Coturnix japonica: one gene and its partners. The protein of the gene in region 1 interacts with the protein of each later gene in a pairwise test. Links are inferred from orthologs where the notes say so. Each region holds a gene or a part of one and is shown on either strand. Other genes may lie near its edges.

What was found.
Region 2: the proteins of FMR1 (region 1) and NUFIP1 interact in a two-hybrid assay, tested with the Homo sapiens proteins (2 studies listed by BioGRID). The link is inferred for Coturnix japonica from reciprocal best matches to the Homo sapiens genes FMR1 and NUFIP1.
Region 3: the proteins of FMR1 (region 1) and PICK1 interact in a two-hybrid assay, tested with the Homo sapiens proteins (2 studies listed by BioGRID and IntAct). The link is inferred for Coturnix japonica from reciprocal best matches to the Homo sapiens genes FMR1 and PICK1.

Annotation. Positions count from the first base shown.
Region 1 is NC_029519.1:17,270,954-17,275,196, reverse strand, and holds the end of FMR1 (synaptic functional regulator FMR1), read left to right. Parts: intron 1-1,163; coding exon 1,164-1,274; 3' UTR 1,275-3,733; downstream 3,734-4,243.
Region 2 is NC_029516.1:150,056,785-150,060,845, forward strand, and holds the start of NUFIP1 (nuclear fragile X mental retardation-interacting protein 1), read right to left. Parts: upstream 2,802-4,061; 5' UTR 2,795-2,801; coding exon 2,608-2,794; intron 2,398-2,607; coding exon 2,309-2,397; intron 467-2,308; coding exon 362-466; intron 1-361. Other genes in the region: GPALPP1 (GPALPP motifs-containing protein 1), read left to right, coding at 2,924-3,008, 4,001-4,061. UniProt on the Homo sapiens protein: Binds RNA.
Region 3 is NC_029516.1:46,560,802-46,564,766, reverse strand, and holds the start of PICK1 (PRKCA-binding protein), read left to right. Parts: upstream 1-1,164; 5' UTR 1,165-1,252; intron 1,253-1,278; exon of another isoform or gene 1,279-1,408; intron 1,409-1,604; 5' UTR 1,605-1,656; coding exon 1,657-1,697; intron 1,698-3,965. UniProt on the Homo sapiens protein: Probable adapter protein that bind to and organize the subcellular localization of a variety of membrane proteins containing some PDZ recognition sequence.

The DNA of each region.
Region 1 (4,243 bases):
CAGCCATAATCTCCAGAGAAGTTAAGAATGCAAATGAAGAAGTAGTTCAAGTCGATATTGAAAATACGTAGTAGATTTTTATAAAGATACTAGTGCAGTTTTTCAAATACGTTTCATTGGGCAAGGTTACTTCAAGCTGATATTTATTGTATGTCGACGTTCAACCATCTCTTACTCCATAGGACAAGTTATACTGGGAGGAAAAAAAAAATGAGTAGCTGCCACCTTTTGCATGGTGTTACTGGGACTTCTGATGAGACTGAGATTATTCTTTTTCATTAATTAGCAAAGAACTTTATAGTTAATATGCTGTTACCTACTTTAAGTAGGTAAAGGAGGATGAAGTAAATGAAGGCAAATGTTGATACTGAAAAAAGAAAAAAATCATCTTAGTCATTCTTCTCTGTTGCTCTGAGATTTAGATGTAGTATTCGGTATTAAGTTAGTATTGAAGTATACTTAAAAACTGACAAATCAAATCATGAAACCTTGTAGTATTTTAAGCAATAAGCTAGAAGTAGTACTATGGAATTACCTCCTACAAGTAAGAAACTTGAAATGCTTATTTGAATGTTTATAAAATGTGGCTAATTGCAACAGTCACATAGGTCTTTTTGGTAGATTAAGTGACTTTTTTTCAGGTTCAAAAGGTGCATGGGTGGATGACATTTTTTTGTTGATACCATTTTATGAGTTTTTTAGGACTGTTTTTCCAAAATGCTTCTATACAGCTAGAATCTTGAATTATTAGAAGTGAGATGATACTTCAGAGTTACACTGTGAGTTCTTCCAACTTCTTGCACATAAACTTCTTCCAGTCTCAAGGAGGTATGAGTGCAGGGAACACCTTTCAAAGGCCGGGTAGTCTAGGGTGTGAGGACTTCCACATTTGTGGGTGGCTTTTTGTTTTCTGTGTGCGTTTCAAGGAAAGTGGCTTTTTCAAACAGAAACAGTCATATGGTGTCTGTTTCAGCTAGTTGCCTTAAGGATCTGGCACTACTTTTCTTCTGACTTTAATAAATTCCTGACTCCTTCCTGGCTGCAAAGGTAGCAAATATTTAAGGGGTAGATAAAGGGAGGAGAATGCTGTATATAACTTTGACTTGTTCCAAATCAGAATTGACTGCAATAATGAAAGGAGTGTTCATACTAAAACATTACAGAATACCTCCAGTGAAGGCAGCCGGCTGCGCACAGGTAAAGAACGCAATCAGAAGAAAGAGAAGGCGGACAACGCAGATGGTCAACAGCCGCTGGTGAATGGAGTACCCTAAACTGCATAAGTCTGAAGTCATATTTCCTATACTGTTTCAGTAATTCCTATTCCACGTTAGAGAAACTTGTTAGGCCAAAGACAAATAGTAGGCAAGATGGCGCAGGGCATGAAATGAACATATGTTCTCTGTTAGCCTTTTTTTAACATCAACAGTATGCAGTTGTTTTCAGAATAAAAAGTTATTAAAAATATTTGCATAAAAAATATCTGAATTTCCGAAAATCGCTTTCAAGTACATATTGCACTTCAAACAATTAAAGAATCTTTTTTGTTTGTTTTAAAAATACTGAGCTGTGCATTGGTAAACTTTCTGTTCAGTTGTACCATTTTAACGCACTGGGTCAAAATCACTGCTCAATTTCAATTCTCAGAATAAATAGTGTTTGCAGTAATCAAATTGGCTTCTGTTTTCAATTTAACTTACAAGTTCTTCATGAAATGCTATGTCGTTTTATGTCCTGTGTCAGTTCACGTTCTGGTCCACCTTTTTCAGTATTTTAGTGGACCCTGAAATACGTGTGATGTAACAGTTGTCATTTTCATTAGCAAAAAAAGTTGTATGATCTGTGCCTTTTTTATATCTTGGCAGGTAGGAATAATATATTTGGATGCAGAATTCAGGGAAGATGAGTTGGTAACACTAAATGTAAAATATATGTAGCAATCCTTGTCAGATGTTAGTACTTTATAGACAAGTGCATGCTTTCCATAATTTTTTCCTTACATAAACATTGGGTTAGGCAGTTATAAGAATAGGAAATTTATTTTGCACTGAAGATTTGGCGAGTAGTGTTACTGAAAAAGGGGTTGTAACTTTTTCTTTGTAGGCAGTATAGATTTTTAAAAAATAAAAACCTAAAAAAAAAAAAAACCACAAAAACTTTCCATTGTGGAGAACTTAAAGGAAAAATAAATAAATAAATGAGAAAAAGAAGCAACAACAACAACAAAAAAATACAACTCATTGTTACTAAGGGAACAGAAGTAATTTGTTCACAACTAGTAATGTGTGCCTGCTGTTTGGCCAGATGACCAGTTTAAAGCGCTAATGTTTTTCATCCTCCCGAAAAGTTCCGAATTGTTATTTTAATTTGGGGACTATCTCAGGAGAGGTAGAAAGAAAATCACCATCTTGGAAAGTCCTGGTGTAGTAACTGGAGATACTGTGGTTGGAACAAATCCGTCATATTTTGAGGTATAAGGTCTGTAATACCAGCCCATTGGAATGAGCATTTGATCCAAAGTACAGTCATACACTAGGGAAGGGTGGGAAGTAGGGGGAGGAGCTGTGCTTTCTTTTATTTTTCATCGCACATTAAGCTTAATAGGCACAGCTATATAAGGACCTCCATTTTAATCCAATTTTTTTTTTATTCAAATTACTCCAGAGTGAGAGCCACTCATTATGTACAGAATTGTACAAACTTGACCTTGCCTCTGATGTATTTTGTGAGTTTTGTTTCTTTGCTTCCTACATTCACTGTTTTCCTTGCATACAGGTGAGAATACTAAAAATGGCAACAAACTGCACATGATTTAACAAATATAAAAATGTCTTAAAAAGTATTGCCAAACATTAATGTTGATTTCTAGTTATTTATTTTGGGAATGTATAGTATTTGAAAACAGAAATTGGTACCTTGCACACATCATCTGTAAGCTGTTTGGTTTAAAATACTGTAGATAATTAACCGAGGTAGACTGACCTTGTAATGTAACTGCTCTTGGGCAATATTCTCTGTACATATTAGCTACAACAGATTGGATTTTATGTTGACATTTGTTTGGTTATAGTGCAATATATTTTGTATGCAAGCAGTTTCAATAAAGTTTGATCTTCCTCTGCTAACTGATGTTGATGCAATCCTTATAAATGATTGCTTTAAAAAAATCTCAAGGCAAGTAGAGAGAATATTTCTGTTTAGACCTTAACTGTAGCTTTTGTTACTTCCACGTTCTAGAAACATTCTGGAATATTACCAGTTTTCAAAAATATGGCACATAATGCTCAAGCAAATGTTCTCATTATGAAATGGTACAAAATCTGTTGAGTTGTCACACTATATGCACTATATCTCTTACATTTAGTGGTGAGTTTACTAAGGTGTTAACTAGGTTAAATGTGAAGTTAAACTACAGTTCTGACTAATTAGTCACATTCCGTTTTCAAGTGCATTTTGGAATTATGACCTTTCAGTATTTGTGTACTTAACATGTATCCCTTTCAATTCAAATTCTAGTGTTTTTAAGTGTTATTAAATTTCAACAAATTAAACTGTGAATCTAAATGTTTAGTTTTATTTTGAAAAATCATGTGATAGTATAAAAAGAAAAGCAACAGCAACTTGAAAGTGCAACAAATGTCTGATCCTTGAGTTCAGGTCTGTCGTATCGGTAACTTATAAACTATGGTCCTATGAATTAAAGTTATTTTAAAAATAAAGTTCTTTAAAAAGAGTGAGAGGTATTCGTGAATGATGCCAAAGTTTAAATTCAGTAGGGTTAACCTCAAAGCCTTATAAATCAACAAATGTTTATGGAAGTCTCTGCTTACTTTCTGTATCGATTGCATTTTTGCTAATTTTGTTGGATAGTTAAGATTCTCAGCATTTGCTTAAAATATTGTCAGGAATCAAAATCTTCTCAGGAAAAGATCTATCTTGATGCCTATCTTTATGCCCTTGATGAGTATTTGTGATTTCAAGAAGCAAATCAATTAACTCGAGTATGGAAACTTTTTAGATGACCTATTTGTAAATTGGCTTTTTCTACCACTTTGTGTCACTAAAATAAGATGTTTTTTGCTTGTCCATTTCAACAGGCCAAAAACAAGTAAAGTGCTGCAAGTAAATTGAGTGAGTAGACTCTGTTCTTTGTAGGAACACTTACTGTGAAAGGTAACTTATTTTTCTGAGCTGCAGCGTATTTTCTCTTCAGAACTCTTACACTGAATATTAAAGGAGAATA
Region 2 (4,061 bases), on another chromosome or scaffold:
AACTTCAAATTGTGTTACTTCTTTGCAGTAAGGGAATGCATCATAAAATCTCTACCACATAAAGCATTTTCACACATATTTCATGTGCTACGCTAATGTCAGTGAAGTTGCTCATAATGCTGGAGTGAATTAACAATGATTCAGAAGAACATTAAAATGACTTGAGCAATAAAGCCAAAAACACAACTGAAAGCTTCCCTAGACACAGTGTATAAAAAAATCTCCTAGCAGCTCAGGAATCTGTTGCTAGGTCTATCATCATAAGAGTGCCTACAGCACTCCGTGAACTGGCATATGTGAGCTCTACAGTTCATATATGAAACTAGAGATTGAAATAAAAATAACGCAAGTAAAGTTCAACCTGTATATGCTGTGAAATATGTTCATCGTACTTCTCCTGGTTTTTATAGCCTCGGTCACAGGTATCGCAATAGTGAGAGAAAACTGGCTCCTTCTTTTTTTTGTTCTAAGAGGAAGGAAAAAAAAAATAAAAATCCAGCATAGAAGTTAAAAGGTTACAAGGTGCTCCCTGTTTAATTAGATAAGATTTAATAAAATCGGAAATATTTCAGTAATAATTCCAATAAAACATTCAAAATGATCTATATTAACAAAGCTATACATTAACAATTCATATCATTTATTTTTTAAACAAAATGCAGTACACTCAGTTCTTCCTGCTACTACCCTTCTATAATCACTTCTGCAGACACAGGCTTAGCAGCAGCTTGGAGAAGAGCCAGGGCTACAGCTCCACACATCTCCTCCCCATAGAGTCAAGTCTACGCCTGTTCTAATATCCCAGGTAGGAGCTCAAGGGGCAGTAGGGACCTTTCCCCCTCCCACCATCACAGCAAAGTGATGAGGTTGTCAGGGTCTGAAAACATAATGAACCACTGAAGTGTTTTATGCATCTGGGCACCATCAAAATAAAGGCTTTTATTGAGATTATGCATTTTAGGATTTGATCCCTTCATTGAGCTCAGGGTTTGAGGCCTCAGTTGGAAGGAAACTTAAAGCCCAACCAGTTTCCAGCCTCCTGCCATGTGCAGGGCTGCCACACAGCAGCTGAGGCTGCCCAGGGCCCCATCCAATGTGGTCTTACATGCCTGTAGGGATGGGGCACCCACAGCTTCTCTGGACAGCTGTGCCAGTGCCTCACTGCCCGAAGCAGATTATTTCTTCCTTATAGTTAACAACGTAGATATAGATGAGATTGAAACTGCTACCTCTTGCTCTCTCACGCTATCTGATGAATATGAATATCCCCTCCCTAACTTCCCTATATGCCCCTTTTAAGTACTGGAAGGCCACAATGAGGCTTCTCCAGAGCCTCCACTTACCATAGAACTCTTTGGGTTGGAAGGGACCCCATGGATCAAGTTCCAACTCCCCTGCCATAGGCAGGGCCACCAATCTCCAGATCTAGCACTAGAACAGGGCTCCACCCAACCTGGTCTCCGGCACCTCCAGTGACAGAGCACACACAACCTCTCTGGACAGCCTGTTCCAGCACCTCACCACTCCCACTGTAAAGAGCTTCCCCCTGACATCCAAGAGCATACCCCACTCTCCCTTCCTTACTCTACAGGAGAAACACTCCAGCCCTCATCCCTGTGGCCTGTTCTAGACTGACTCCAAATTCATATCCCGGATAAAATACTGCAGGTGAAGCCTCACGAGGACAGTCCAGGAGGAAGAATCACTTCCTCAGTCATGCAAGGGAACCACACTTATTTTGCTTGTCATGCACAGAATCACAGAATGAGCCGGGTTGGAAGGGACCTCAAGGATCATGTAGTTCCAACCCCCCTGCCTGGCAGGGCCACCAAACATACACATTTACTAGATCAGGTTGCCCAGGGCCCCGTCCAACCTGGTCTTGAACACCTCCAAGGACGGGGCATCCACAACCTCCCTGGGCAGCCTGTTCCAGGGCCTAACCACTCTCCTAGTGAAGAACTTCCCCCTAACATCCAACCTAAATCTTCCCTCTTTCAACTTAAAACCATTTCCCCGTGTCCTGCTACTGTCAGCCCTTTGAAGAGTTTACTCCCCTCCTGGGAGTAAGTTCCCTTCAGGTATTGAAAGGCTGCAATGAGGTCACCCCGCAACCTTCTCTTCTCCAGGCTGAACAAGCCCAACTCCCTCAGCCTGTCCTCATAGGGGAGGTGCTCCAGCCCCCTGATCATCTTCGTGATGCACATCCAAAACAGGGACACAAGCCCCACATGGCCACCTCCATCCCAGCATCACAGAACAGTTATAACAGAAAGGAAACTCCAAAGGGCATACAGCCCATCTGTACCTTCTGCTTGTTGTTTCCACCAGGAGAACGCTTATGGAAGCCAGGTGCTTGCTCTCCTTGCCATTCCTGCTGAAAATGGCCATTTCCACCTTAAAGAACAAACGAAAAACCCACACAACACAACAGTCGGTTTCAATTGCTGCAGCCAATGAGTCTCACAAGCATGTGGGACCAGATGTGGGGGGGGGGAGAGGGACCCTGCAGACTCAAATCGAGGTCGGAGGATCAGAGAAAATAATAGTAATAAGTACTAAATAGAAGGGAAAAGGAAACAAGGTGACGGGACCCCCCCCACTCACTACCCTGCGGCCGCCTCGTGGGCTCCTGGTAGGCCGGCGGGTACCATGCCGGCGGCGGGGCGTAGCCGTCGGGCGGCGGCCATAAGCCATGTTCCCAAGGGGGCGGAGGGCAAAAGAGCGGCGGGCGAAGCGGTGGGAACCATCCGAACGGGCTGACGGCGGAGCCCAACTCGCCGCCCGGCTGCATGCCCGCCGCGTGACCAGCCGCTCCTACAGCCCGGCCGCCACTAAATGCGTCACTTCCGCTTCCCGTCTCCTTCTTCCGGGGTTAAGCCGGCGCAGCTCTGACGTCACCGGCTCGGCCCCGCCCCCCAACATGGCGCGCGAAATGATCGGCCCCGCGCTGCCGCCCGGCTTCCCGCGCTGCGCGGAACAGGACCCGGATGAGGAGCTGGGGCAGGGTGAGCTCAGCGCTGAGGGGAGGGGGCGGGAACGGGATGAGTGGGAACGGGCTGAGGTGTGACAGTGCTGAGGTGTGGCAGTGCTGTACTGCCACAGTGCTTTCCCCATCTGGAGTACTGTGTCCAGGTGTGGAGCCCTCATTACAAGAAAGACATGGAGATTTTGTTAAGGGTCCAGAGGAGGGCCACAAAGATGATCAGGGGGCTGGAGCACCGCCACTATGAGGACAGGCTGAGGGAGTTGGGCTTGTTCAGCCTAGAGAAGAGAAAGCTGCGGGGTGACCTCATTGCAGCCTTTCAATACCTGAAGGGAACCTACACCCAGGAGGGGAGTAAACTCTTCAAAAGGGCTGACAATAGCAGGACACGGGGAAATGTTTAAGTTAAAAGAGGGCAGATTTAGGTTGGATGTTAGGGGGAAGTTCTTCACTAGGAGAGTGGTTAGCCCTGGAACAGCTGCCCAGGGAGTTGTGGATGCCCCGTCCTGGAGGGTTTCAAGACCAGGTTGGAACGGGGCCCTGGGGCAACCTGGATCTAGTAAATGTGTATGTTTGGTGGCCCTGCCAGGCAGGGGGGTTGGAACTACATGATCCTTGAGGTCCCTTCCAACCCGGGTCATTCTGTGATTCTGTGACCAGAAGGGAGAAGCAGAGCTGCAGTGTGAGGATGGATCCTGTATAAGTCTGGGTGATGGCTTTAAACTGAGACAGGGGAGGTTTAGGTTAGATATTAAAAGGAAGTTTTTCACACAGAGGGTGGTGACGCACTGGAACAGGTTGCCCAAGGAGGCTGTGGATGTCCCATCCCTGAAGGCATTTCAAGGCCAGGCTGGATGTGGCTCTGGGCAGCCTGGTCTGGTTATTGGCAACCCTGCACATAGCAGGGGGTTGAAACTGGGTGATCATTGTGGTCCTCTTCAACCCAGGCCATTCTATGGTTCTATGATTCTGAGAGATGTTTAACAAATATCCCCTATGTCTCTGGGTGCTCAGTTGCAGGACCAGCGTTGCCCCCAGACTATAGAAGCAGCAGCAGCTCAGAAGCTCCTGACAG
Region 3 (3,965 bases), on another chromosome or scaffold:
CAGAAAAGCAGCCAGAAACACGAGATTTAACAGAGACCCACTGCAGGGAAATACATCTGAGTGCCAAGAAGCCAACTAGTCATGCAGCGTGTGATCTGCTTGCAGACTCCTTATTACACGTGATGAAAGATGAACAGAAGAGAGTTTGACTGGCGGAGCCTGGCCTGACTTTGCTGTATTGAGTCTCGAAAGGCGGATAAAAGCCTTGTATTTGCTGAGCTCTCTTGATCCAAAGCATACTGGTAGGCAGTGAGTGCTATGTTTTATGATGATGATGATTTTATTTCAGATGATCATTTTCATTCCTTTTCCCCCTCGGGATGAGGTGATCTGCCGGATCTCTAGCACTGAGAAACACAGCCCTAAGGCACACACCATCTCATTCAGAGCCCATCCAACTGACCCCGAACACATCGGATTGAGTGCACACAAAAGGCAGGGTCACCCAGCACGCGTGTACAAAGGCTTCAGGGATGCTTCCGGGATGAAGTGAGGGCCATATTCAATACACACACACACCAGAGGGGAAGCACAAAAGCGGAGCCCATCAGCCACGCTGCCTTCTAGATGGTGCCCACACGGAGGAGCTCCTGCCTTAGGAATGAACCCCAGCTGGGCGGCTGGTGTAACTTTGGAGGCCCTGGAGTTTAAGGAGCTTTCAGCCAGTGCTCTCAGTCGTAGGGTCTGATTTTCAGGTGGTCCTTTATGGAGCCCGATGGTCCCTACGGCTCCCTTCGCACTTAGAGTATTCAGTGTTGCTATGAATTCTCAGCCTAGAGAAGGTTGCGGGGTGACCTCATTGCAGCCTTACAATACCTGAAGGGAACTTTACTCCCAGGAGGGAGTAAACTCTTCGAAGGGCTGATAATAGCAGGACTAGGGAAATGGTTTTAAGTTGAAAGAGGGAAGATTTAGGTTGGATGTTAGGGGAAGTTCTTCACTAGGAGAGGGGTAGGTACTGAACAGGCTGCCCAGGGAGGTTGTGGATGCCCCGTCCTTGGAGGTGTTCAAGGCAGGGTGGACGGGGCCCTGCGGCAACGTGATCTAGTAAAGGGTGTATGTTTGGTGGCCCTGTGCCAGGCAGGGGGTTGGAACTACATGATCCTTGAGCCCGCCACTCTCAAGATGGCGGATGGAGCGTCCCCGTAGCAACGCGGGCGCTAGAGGAAGGGGGGCGGGCTTTGGCTGCGCGCTTCCGGTCGGCTCCGGCGGCGACGCGTCAGCGGCGGGGTCGGCCCGGCCACCTCTAAAGGTCTCGGCTTTGATGTGGGGCGAGCGGCGGCAGCGTGTGACCGAGCCGCGGGGCAGCGAGCGGGGCCGGGGCCTGGGAGCACAGAGCGGGGCCTGCTGCGGGACATAAGGGATCGGGGGCACGGCAGTTGCTTAGGAAACAGAACAAGGCTGCTGTGTGAGCGGGGAGCGGGCCGCGGGGTGTGGTGCTGTGCCTGGAGCAGAGCGTGCGGCCACCTGGTCCCTACTTGCAGCCCTCTATCAGGGCACCATTCGTCATTCAGAAATAGATGGGGTGGGAGTTGACGTTGGTGCCCTGGTGACCCGCAGAGAGCGCGGCCTTACGGGGGTTTTGCTCTGTGCTTTCTTCCTAGGGAGTTTACAAGAAGGTGCTTTCAGACGGTCAGGTTCCAGTTAGCGAAAAGGATGTTTGCTGATTTGGATTATGATGTTGAGGAGGATAAGCTGTAAGTACGGCACTCATCTTTTGTTTTTCTGACAATAGAAATAGTCTTCACAGAACAAAACAAATGGCAGCAGATAGATTTCCATGTTGCTGACAAGGCCCAGGGAGACCTGGACAGGCTTGAGCAGTGGGCCAAGGACCCCCTCACTTGGCCAAGTGCAAGGTCTGGTATTGCATATCGGTATTGTAAGGTTTTGCACTTGGGCTGGAAGAACCCCAGGCACCTGTACAGGCTGGGAGGAGTGGTCCTTGAGAGCAGCTCGGCAGAGAAGACCTGGGGGTCCTGATGGACAAAGACTCAAACTGAGCCAGCAGTGCGCTCTGGCAGCCGGAAAGCAAATGGGATCCTGGGCTCCATCAGGAGAGGGGTGGCCAGCAGGGATAGGGAGGTGATTGTCCCTCTCTGCTCTTGTGAGGCCCCATCTGGAGTACTGTGTCCAGGTGTGGAGCCCTCAGTACAAAAAGACATGGAGATTTTGGAAAGGGTCCAGAGGAGGCCACAAAGATGATCAGGGGGCCGAGCACCTCCCCTATGAGGACAGGCTGAGGGAGTTGGGTTTGTCAGCCTGGAGAAGAGAAGGTTGCGGTGACCTCATTGCAGCCTTTCATTACCGAAGGGAATTACCCCAGGAGGGAGAAACTCTTCGAAAGGCTGAAATAGCAGGACAGGGGAAATGGTTTTAAGTTGAAAGAGGGAAGATTTAGGTTGGATGTTAGGGGAAGTTCTTCACTAGAGAGTGGTTAGGTCCTGGAACAGGCTGCCCAGGGAGGTTGTGGATGCCCCGTCCTTGGAGGTGTTCAAGCCAGTTGGACGGGCCTGGGCAACCTGACGTAGTAAATGTGTATGTTTGGTGGCCCTGACAGGCAGGGGGGTTGGAACTACATGATCTTTGAGGTCCCTTCCAACTCGGGTCATTCTGTGATTCTGTGGTACCTGGGCTGTGGCAATTTCCACTACCAGTACAGGCTGGGGGATGGAGCACGGCCCTACCAAAAAGGACTTGGGGACACTGATGGATGGCAGCTGGACATGAGCCAGCAGTGTGCCCTCACAGCCCACAGTGCCAACTGTGTCCTGGGCTGCACCCAAAGGAATGTGGCCATTAGGGAGAGGGAGGTGATCCTGCCCCTCTGCACTGTGTTGTGAGACCTTTCCCAGAGTACTGAGTTGAATGTGGAACCCTCAGTACAGGAGAGATGTGGGCATGTTAGACCTGTTAGAGCACATGCAGAGGAGGGCCACAAAAATGAGATGTTCCAAAGGGATGGAACACCTGCCCTATGAGAGAGGAAGTTGAGAGAGCTAGGGTTGTTCAGCCAGGAGAAGAGAAGGCTCCAGGGAGACCAGAGAGCAGCCTCTCAGTATCTAGAGGGAGACTATAAGAAGAAAAGGGACAGATTCTTTTCTTTGTGATAGGACAAGGAGAAATGGTTTCAGACTAGAAGAGAGATTTAGACTGTATGTAGACTTACTTTCCAATAAGTCTAGTGGAGTTCCAGTAAGGAACAGGTTGTCTGGGGGTGTGGATGCTTCATCCCTGGAGATATTCAAGGTCAGGCTGGAGGGGCTCTGAGCATCCTGATCTAGATGTAGGAGTCTCTTTCCATTGTAGGGGGTTTGTCCAGATGGCCTTTAAGGCTCGTTTCCAACCAACAGTTCTGATTCTAAGACCCGCTGAAGGGTCAGGCTCGCTGCTCAATCCTGACTTCTTGCTACCTTGGGGAATGGGGATGAAGTATTGCTGTCTCTCTCCAAGGACTGCTCTGAGCTTCTTGTTGCAAGGTAGTCCTAGCAGTGAATTAGTGACCTTAGCTAGAGGGAAGAAAAAAAAAAAGGTTTATAATGGAAGACAGTACGAGGCAGCCATAAGTGGAGAAAACCTCTGGAGACCATGGGTTTGTAAGGAGCACTGGAGTTTTTTGAACAAGTTTTATGAAATCAGCAGTTTCTTTGGCATGGAGTTTCGTTTTTGTTGCACATACTGATCTCTTACTCTGACACAAAGGCAGCTCAAACACTGTTTAAAGCAACAGTGTTTCCTCTGCATCTCTCCCTCCTTCACTCTGTGCATGCAGTCTCAAAAACAACAGCTCAGAGTGTCTTCCTGTGTTGTCCTGTGCTTATAGACTCTGTGGCACAGTGTGCTTAATTAAAGTGTACAATGTCTATCATGTGTTCAGTTTTTATCGTCACTGATACCACAGTTGTACAGATACAGCTCTGTCTGCCATGTTCAGTTTTCCACTATCCATCTCCTTTCTCATTCTA